2 linked regions of the Arabidopsis thaliana genome follow. The protein of the gene in region 2 interacts with the protein of the main gene of each other region in a pairwise test. Each region holds a gene or a part of one and is shown on either strand. Other genes may lie near its edges. The genes, in order: AT1G57720 and AT2G18110.

Region 1 (5,496 bases), on a different chromosome or scaffold from region 2:
ACTGTATCTACAAATGGTTGGGTCATAGTAATTTGTGCCCTCTCTGCCGCACTGTTCTTGAAGATGAAGATGACGACGATTATCCCTACTACTCCTAAACAGAGTCATGAAGATTTCTTTTTTTAGGGTTTTTAGGTTAAGAATGATGATTTGTTGATTTTCTTGAGATGATATTGTAATGATTCGATTTGTTTGAGATAATATAGTAATGATTCGATTTATTTGATTTTCTTAAGACAAGATCTTAATCTACCTTTTGTTTATTTTGGTCATTAAACTCTTTGTAGAGAACGAATTAGGTTTACTTGGTATATCTTCTCATCTTAATAAACTTGAGTGATTTTAAGCCTCTCGGACCTAATATCTATGAACATGTTCAACATACACTCTCCTTATAAGCTCACCTCATGGCTCTATTTCTTACACCTATCTCTTAAATGTTGCTGTGTAGACCAACATTCGATTGGCTTAAAAGGAATTTGGGTTTTAGTGAACATATCTGAATCATCAAGTTAGAGACGTGTTAGAGACAAGTTAGAGACGTGTAATATTACAACTTTAAAATGAAATTCAGTATGCCCCATTAAACGAGATTCTTTGCATCTTCCAAGCAACTAATTTAAAGAGAGAATGTCACACACACGAGTTTGGATAATAAAAAACAAAATAAAAACAATAACTAGAAGTTGTAATGTATTTAAGAACAATATTCTGTCAAAATAACATTGAGAAGCAACTAGTTCTTAAACCCGAGTACGATTCAAAAGGTGGTAAGGACTCTCTAGAAGGTATCAAAACACGAGTAACAGAGTAAACCTCTACGGAGATACAAAGAGCCTTTTCACTTAAAGCATTTGGCGTCCAAAAGAGCCTCGCCTTCAAATGGCTCAGCGTCTTCAATCATCTGGCTAACACGCTCCTTCTGTGCTTCATCGGAGATATCAACCTTAGTCCACTCGTACAGCTCCATGTCGTACACCTCATCCATTATGAACTTGGGGATCTCTGGTCCACGGAAAAGCCATAAACCCTTCACCTTGAAAGGACCCTCTGACCCGCAAATAAGCATCTTTCCAAAGGAGTATTTACGTGCCAAGTCCATACGCTGAAGGAACCCTCCTACCTTGTTGAGTGTAACAAAGGAGACCATGTTCTCATCGTTGTACTTATAGTCACAGAACCATAGTGAGTACCCCTCCGGGTCATACATGTCCCAGAATCCTGCAATGAAGAAAAACATTCAAGGCATTGAGCTTAATAGAATGTACTTTCAGACTCTGGGCCATACATGTCCCATAAACCATAGTGAGTACCCCTCTAAGTCTACTATATCTAGCTTAGGAGGCAATTTAGTAGACTAGAGCAGCTGTGAATTGTTTAGAGAGTCGTTAGTAAGCACTGGTATTATAAGGATGTCACAGCACATTGTCTCGGATTTTTGTAGCTTTCTTCTTAACAAGTTGATTCCATAAACCTAGAACAATTTCTTCTAAAGAACAATTAACAGAAGTCATCATATAACATACCTTTGATAGCAACCTCACGGAAGTTGGATTTGGTGTTCGAGTAAAGCCTCTTCCAGTCATCGAGAACCATTGGGCTTGGTGGTAGCAAGTCAAGAGGATTCTTGGCTTTAGGCTTTGGTGCTTCCTCCTCCTCAGCAGGCTTTGGTGCCTCTGCTACAGGGGCTGCCTTCTTGGGCTCCTCCTTGGGCTTAGCAGGCTGTGGAGCTTTCTTAGTAGGAACTGGAGGGACAGCTTCGGTTTGTTTGGCATCACCCAACACCTTCTTGAATTCTGGCTGGTTAACCATTGTCCAGAAGTATCTCTCAACATGAGGGAATGCAGAGGTAAATTTCTTGGTCATCACGGTGGCAAATCCCAAGTTCAAGTTGCAGATTGTGACAATATCAGCAAGGGTGACAGAGTGTCCAACAAGGAAAGTGTTGGAGGCGAGATGTGTGTTCAGAGCCTCAAGTCCTCTCTTCAATGCAGAAATTGCCGCTTCCTCAGCCTTCATTCAGATAAAACCATTAAAAAGATTAGTCAAGCTTAGACTAGTCAAATACTAATCTTAGCGAGTAAGGAGTAGCATGATTTGTTAGTACAGAGAGTGCATGAGACAAGGCACAAAAAATGAGGGAAAGCTTACTGGGGCAGAGAAGGGAGCATAGCCCATTCTTGGAGCAAACCACTTCAACATGTTAGCATCAATCTCCAATGAGGAGAAATCGATCCATTGCTCAATGTGAGCCTGAAAAGTAAACACATGCACATAGACATGAATCAATGATAGTAAACAAGAGATAAACACAAAGGTACGATAATTTTAAAAGGAAAGGCCATTGGATAAACAGGAGCTTACGTATTCAATAAGGGAGGATCCATTCAAAGAGTTGTCACCATTCTTACGGCTCACTGAAGGGGGATAACAAAACAATCATCATATCCAATTAATACCAAGTTATAGATAGGTGCATCAAAGAGAAACAGAAGGAAATGAAGTTATACCATATCGGGCAATGGCATTGCTCTCAAATATGGGACCTTCAGGAGTCTCAAGCACAGGAACCTAGTGGGATCATAATCTTTTATTAGCTAGGAATTTACAGCAAACATCAATCAAAACTTCTCGAAAGAGATTCCATACCTTTCCAATAGGGTTCATCTTAAGGAACTCAGGTGACTTGTTAGTGACGCCCATCTGAAAGTCTGCGGACTCCTCGATCTTCACACCCGCATACTCTGCAGCAATAAGTGCCTTATTGGCACCTTTGTTTCCCTTGTATGTGTGCATGACCTGATAAATAGTATGATTTACACAAACTTCATCAATGAAACTCAACAGAAATTGCATAGTTATATTCATCCAAAGTAGTTTTTCAATGCAACACAAAATCCAGTTCTCAGATTAATAAACAATCGTCCAAGATACCTAAATCATTCTAAAATCAAACTATATTCCCAGATTTAAGATACATGAATCAAAATTCATAAACTATCATCAACAGATCAGTAAAACCAATCGTGACGGATCTGATGAAACGTGTAATGATCTCAGAAGTGAGTACTTACCAACGCCATTGCTCAAACGGAGAAGATATACGAACTCGGAGATTTTCTGAGTTCAGATCTAGTTACCAAAGAAAACACCAAGTAAAAATCAGTTAATCGTCGATGAAATTTTGAAACGAGAGAAGCGTATATGAAGAAGAAGTTGATAGATTGATTCTTACGAGAGACTTTCTGCAAAAACAATTCCGAGAGAGCAAAGCGAGAGAGAAGAAGATACAAAAGCGGCGGCGAGAAATAGTATTAGAGTGTGGAAATTAGGGCTGTGTGAAGTCGGTTTTGGAGAATATTCCTTTTTCGTTTGATTCGGTTTAGCTTTTGGTTTTGTCAAATTTGGTTTGCTTATTTTTAAGGTTTAAACGATTATAACTTTTGCATTTATGTATAACATAATAAAAATTAGCGTATTGTTTTACCCAAAGTAAAGTTGGAGTTTTGTTTTTGCATTTTTTGACAGATTTTGCTGACATTTCCCCATGGCCATTTTGATATGTAGTTTAGTTGGTTGTATCCATATCCTTGGTGTGCCAAACTCGCATGTTGTTGAAAAAGAAGAAAAAGAAACACTAGTTCATCGAAATTCGTAGAAGCAACCTCACAAAGTTACTTCTCTGATTCATGTCTCTATGTGGTTTCTTCCTCTCCAAGATATCCTAAACGACAACCAAAAACAAAGTTTTAGACCATACAAACTAAACTTTAAATCCGAAAATGATATATCCTTTTTAAAAATAAGTTGTGTTGTGCTTTTTAAATTCAAAAGGGTTATTAACTTATTATGCAAGATTGATCCATAGATGTAAACTAAAACGTTACCACGTACAATGCCAATTAATATAATTAGGTTTTTGATACACCAACTCCAAGTATGGGTTTGAATAAATACAAAATTGATGAATTTTGTAACCCTTCTTTCACTTTGTGAAAATGAAATAAAATCTTTTAATTAAGTAGCTTCCAAAACTATTAGAGGGCATTATTGGTAGGTCCACTAAACTATGTTATTGTTCGTATGTCATACATATATAGATGTTTTTTTATTGAGTTCGATTTCTTCTACGAAGTTTACAAAATTGGTTACCTTCCACAAGTCTTTGCGTATCATTTCTTCACAACTTACTCCTTTTGGTCAACAGTACCAACAACTTTAATTTCAAGCATCTTCCGCCTCTTCTTCTTCTGCACTGCGTTTACTTTGTGTGACCAAAAATCCAAACTAAAGATATGGAGGTTCCAATCTGGCAATGGTGTTTGATCGTCATAGTGATCATATTCTTGGCAATTGCTTCCCATTTTCTGGGAAGAATCTTGTGTAGCCCTCGAGAGAGAATCGCAGATAGTAAAGCCGAGAAAAAACATGGACCAGCCGAAGCAGACAAGACTGCGAAAGGTGGCTCCGACCAACTCGTGTGATGATCTCAAAGAGCATGCATATATCGTCAAGTTTGGTTTGTAATTTGTAAGTTCATTTTTTTTTTTACTATTATTGTAAAATAATACTAATTGTTCACATCCATATATACATATATGCGTAAATATATATATGTGTGTGATCAATTCCAATTTAAAAAAAAAGAAGCATTGGAGAGAACACTAGTAAGCTCTTAAATTTGTTTTCAATTAGTCATCAACTCATCATCAAGTCTAAGAAACCAAAATGTAATTCGGGTTTACAACATTGCATGGTTAGCTTCATATTATGGGAAATTAAACTTTGATAGTTAGACCAAAAAAAACAAAAAACGTTGATAGTGTTGACCTTGGTGATGGAAATCAAATGAAATCAACTTTTAACCGTGGGTTGGCTATGTGCATATCGGATTAGAACCGATAATTGAGCTGCTGTAGACTCGCTTTAGGTTTGGTTTAATGTCCATGTTATGTTAAAAGGCTGTTATAATTGTTGAAACAAAGTTTTACAACAACCAAATTAAAAAAAAAGTTGTTGTAACAAAGCATGCTATAAAAAGGTAGAGCAAGGATCCATCTTGTGTATGATATATATATACATTTTAACATATGTAATTTCGTGTGAGAAATTCAGTTACTGAGAAGATAGTGAATTGCAAGTATTACGTAACGTAGGGATCTCAATCAAGTCCCGAAATCGTAAAAGCCTCACGTCTTTTCTTCTTCCTATTTCTTGGATCCTCTGTTCTTGTTCTGTTTTTCTTTCTTTGGTGGTTCTTGAGAGATTGAGAGAGTGAGTGAGTGTGAGAAATATTAAGTCAGAAGGATAAAATTCGATTCAGCTCCGCATATTCGATTGACATAGTTTAATTAAAACAGTGGAAAGATTCATGCAGCTTATAAAAAAAAAAAAAAAAAACCAAGAAATACTTTGATATTAGGTGATCAACGAATAATCTGAATATTGCAGAAAATATGATGAATGTTATTTTTCTTGAGCTTGCAAGCAGAATTT
Region 2 (4,328 bases):
AATCTTCTTTTCCACCGTCGTCACCTTGTCCTTTCCCATCTCCTTTGCCATTTCCTCTTCTTCCTACTCTACCGCTTCCTCCTCCTCCTGCTCCACCATCTCCCGAACTTCCTCCTGCTCCATTACAACCTTCACAGCTTCCTTCTCCACCGGTACAACCTCCACAGTCTCTTTCTCTTCCTCTGCAGATTTCGCAGCCTCCTTCTTCTACATCACCTTCTTGCACTCTTCGTGCTTTGTTATGTCCACCACTTTCAAACGTTTTGTTGGAACCCAAAACGGAAGATTGATCACTACTATTAAAATATCTCCTCACGGGTCTATATCGCAGCCCGTGGACAGAGCTTGAACTCAACAACAACACAGCACCAGAACCTAACAAGAACACCACAAAGCTTGACATTTTCACCAATATCTCTATCGAGAATTTTCTCAAGTAAAAGTCATCTCCATTCCCATCCTTTTTATAACCCAAATCAAGACCACAATAATTATAGTGAGCAACCAAAATGAGCATGCATTACCCATATGAAACCTACCATTTTTTTTGTGGGAACTAAAGAATACAAAAAAGATATGACTTCAGAAATATTGCGTCACACCCAAGGTCCTTGTTCTAGCCTTCTCATATTCTCTGATTGTTAGAAATTTTTGTAAACATAATCTTCTTTGCAATACTAAATTATGCGTACTTGTATTTATTTTAAACATACGTGCATTCTTGCTTCACACTTTCTGTGATGTTATCAAACTTATGATTTTTCGTATTTGAGATTTGGTGGAAACTTTAAGACAAAACTGAATTGTCTTCACATATATCAAAATGAATCAGAGTTGGTAAAAGCCCTCCCACAGAGTACAATAAAAACAGGTAACAAAACTGGATATAGAGAAGAAAACAACAACATAAACAGTTCTTCCTTCAAGCTATTCTCCATCCTCCTGCATTATGATTCAATTCAATATCCAACAGTTAGTTACACACCAAATTATCGTATAAAACAATCTCAGCATTCTAAGTAGTTGAGAAAAGGTTCGTGTAACTTACATATCTTGTTGAAGGCAACAATGTCACAACTCTGGACATATTCATTGATCGGTTCAACAGTGAGTTGCTCTTCGATCATGGTGTCGATAGATACAAGGTCATCAACAATGGTGCACATGATGTGCAACTTCTTGATACCGTAACCAACGGGTACAAGCTTTGATGCTCCCCAAAACAATCCTTCCATCTGAATGGATCTTACAGCTTCCTCTAGCTTCTTCATGTCCGTCTCATCATCCCACGGCTTGATATCCATCAAAACTGATGACTTTCCGGCTGATTAAGAAAAGAAAGAAACCAGATGAGAAATCCAAGACATCATTATATCGTAAACTACAGGTGTAAAGGCAAAAACACAAACTTACATTCTTTCTTCTTTGTAGATGCCTTCACAGAAGCTGCTCTCTCTTCAGCAGCTTTCTTTTCCTCTTCGGTCTCCTCCCCGAAAAGGTCAACATCATCATCATCTTCTTCTTCAGCAGCAGTATCCTTAGAATCAGCTGCAGGGGGAGTAGCAACAGCCTCTTCTGTGATAGGTGATGACCCTTCAACAATGACACCACTTCCTTCAGCAGAGACACCACTGTAAATAGAGAGACAGGTTATAAGAAAACAACACTAGACAAAAACTTTAATTGGTAAAAAACAGAAGGCAATGGAGCTTACGAGATCCTCAAGAGGGCATCGATGTGGTTGAACCAACGAGATACATTGACAAACTCTGAAGTTGGGGGCTTTGAAAGAGCTGTAAACACAGTGATATCATCCTTTGAAGCTTGGTACCTATAAACATACATACATAGAGAGACAGAAGAAAGTAATGGTTACTACTATTGTTTCAAAACAAGATAGATAATTGAGACAGCCCTTAGAAAACAGATTCTAACCCAGTGATGTAACTGCGAGTGAGAAGATGCTCATCGAGCTTCTTCAATCCGGAGCCAGAGTTGAGGTTGGGGAAAGCCGCCATTGTTTCTAAAGCTCGAAACTTTTTCACTGATATAAAGCAGAGAGATCAGATCAGATCAGATCAGATCAAGTAAGGAAAAACCCACCAACGATTCATCAAAAACGAAACTTTCTATTTCATAAAACCAGATCATGACAACAGAAGATCTAAAAGACGAACCATTGGGTTAAAACGTATGAACAACAATAAGAATGCTAATCAACTAGATTTAGATTCACAAACACCGAAATTTAAATTCTAATCACATAATCCCAAAGTTGCATAATTTGAGGTCGAAACAAACCCTAATTGGAGGCGAAAGAAGAATTGAATCGAAGAAGCAACAAACCTGTAGCAATAAAGGAGCCGACTTGAAGAGGGAGAGCAAGAGAGAGAGACGTAGTGGAGGAATTAGCGTCGAGAAGGTGATGTATTTAACCCTCTGAGATTTTTGTGTAATGGGCCGAATTTGGGCCTAACATTTACATTTTAGCGGATTAATTCTCTATCCATTCTGATTTTTGCCATTTGTTTTTTGTATGGATGACACCGAATTAGAAATATGCAAAAATGTACATGTTACATATTAAGAACCTATTTTACCTATTTTCAAATATAATAACTAAAATAATTATCAAATTTTTTATAACACTTAAAATAAACTAAAATATTTTTTTCCAATTTTGTTGGCTTATGAATTAATCAAGTTCGATTGTTTAAGATGATTTTTTTTTTTTTTTTGAATTCTCAAAAAACAGTAACCACACAATCACACATGTACGTTTCTTGCATATTATTATTCTAGCAAGCGAAACAGTATAAAATTTTAGTTTTCACATGTACGTCTGTGAATTTGGGTGATATAAAAATTGATAGATAGGGCCAATGTTATCAACATGTACATCATCATCTACTATCGCCGTACAGAGAGAAAACTAGGAAAAAGCCAAAGTATAAAGGCGACGACGTAAAACTAACTACAAAAATATGTTGAAAGTTCAATAAGACAACAAGGGACTAAAAGCTCGTTTATTATGTCAACATGTATAGTATGTTTGTTTGTTTTTGGTCAACATAGTTTCTCCGATGGTTTTTTCGGGTAAAAAATTAGAACATGTAGGGTTTCAAAATGAGGGAAGTTTTCATGTAAACAATTGTGGGAATGTGGAAGTGTATAATATATACGCACATGAGGAGAAAATGAGAGAAGAAGGGCAATGATGTTTCGTTTTACCTGATTCAGCAGTCATGAGGGTTAATCTAGTCTATGAAACTGGGTGAAAATGGGATATGGTCCTAGTAATAAATGTTGGGTTTAGTTAGAGAGTGTTTCGAAAAACAGGGTAAGAATTGTCGAGTTCGAGTCTTTCCAGGATTTGTTGAGTTTTCCATAGGTAAGATGAGTGACCTTCCACCATATCCGTTACATCTACCTACAAATGTGATGATGATTACTCTGATTGTTTCTATCATTTTCACTTCCTACGAATTGAAGATGAGAGTAAATGAGATGACTTACATCTTCAATCCCCGGTATACAGACCGGTTGGATTCCAGCTAATCCTTGGGACAACAGACTGCAGAATTTAATAAGGAAAAAAGAGTTTGGATTTGCAGGTGAAAGGGGGGATCGAAGAACACAATTCAACATACCTTGCACGAAATGCAACTCCGAGGGTCCAGTCATTTGTGGCGTAAACATTAATGAATCTTCCAGCCACCATCTGGTAACCCATAAAAAAACTCGTATAAGATGATACAGAACACCAAAAGACGGATCTGTTTCCTAGACTGTGACACCAACTCTTGTTAATGGTAGGGAACTCTCATCAAGAAGGTTTATTACCTTTCTTACGTCTCGCCAATTCTCATTCTTGATTGAAATTGGTGCTCCAAGAAGAACAACTCTTTCCACAATTTCAGCTACCGTGAAAAATGTGTTAAAGACAAGAATCAATTGTCAATTCTAAAGCAAAGATAAATATTGAGTGGAGAAATACCATTCTTTTCAGTCTCTGCCAGAGTCTGGAGGCACTTAAAGACAACACGTGCACCAAGCGAAAAACCAACCAGAGTCACAGGTCTGAATTTCTCACAAGTTTTCCAATGTAAGAGAATCAACATGCTGATGTAAAATACTAATTGCACAACTTTCTATCATAAAGATATATGATGGAATTTATCCAATAATTATACCTATTTCCTTGCAACCCTTTTCGAAGCGCTTCAGCAAGAAGCTTCCCTGCTTTGTCTGACCTGAAATAAGATAATACGAAAATAATAGCACATAAACTTACTTGCAGTACTGGTTTCATCACATTTGGCATTTCA

The links.
Region 1: the proteins of AT2G18110 (region 2) and AT1G57720 interact in a two-hybrid assay, tested with the Arabidopsis thaliana proteins (one large-scale study listed by BioGRID).

The regions. Positions count from the first base shown.
Region 1 is NC_003070.9:21,375,460-21,380,955, reverse strand, and holds AT1G57720 (Translation elongation factor EF1B, gamma chain), read right to left. Parts: upstream 3,637-5,496; 5' UTR 3,236-3,636; intron 3,222-3,235; exon of another isoform or gene 3,133-3,221; 5' UTR 3,084-3,132; coding exon 3,075-3,083; intron 2,800-3,074; coding exon 2,650-2,799; intron 2,572-2,649; coding exon 2,511-2,571; intron 2,418-2,510; coding exon 2,365-2,417; intron 2,254-2,364; coding exon 2,152-2,253; intron 2,014-2,151; coding exon 1,527-2,013; intron 1,222-1,526; coding exon 842-1,221; 3' UTR 577-841; downstream 1-576. Other genes in the region: AT1G57730 (RING/U-box superfamily protein), read left to right, coding at 1-98. UniProt on the Arabidopsis thaliana protein: Probably plays a role in anchoring the complex to other cellular components.
Region 2 is NC_003071.7:7,870,326-7,874,653, reverse strand, and holds AT2G18110 (Translation elongation factor EF1B/ribosomal protein S6 family protein), read right to left. Parts: upstream 2,454-4,328; 5' UTR 2,347-2,453; intron 2,045-2,346; 5' UTR 2,019-2,044; coding exon 1,936-2,018; intron 1,832-1,935; coding exon 1,715-1,831; intron 1,632-1,714; coding exon 1,414-1,631; intron 1,325-1,413; coding exon 1,049-1,324; intron 943-1,048; coding exon 941-942; 3' UTR 644-940; downstream 1-643. Other genes in the region: AT2G18100 (transmembrane/coiled-coil protein (DUF726)), read right to left, coding at 3,317-3,430, 3,517-3,574, 3,651-3,721, 3,844-3,920, 3,998-4,080, 4,194-4,253. UniProt on the Arabidopsis thaliana protein: EF-1-beta and EF-1-delta stimulate the exchange of GDP bound to EF-1-alpha to GTP.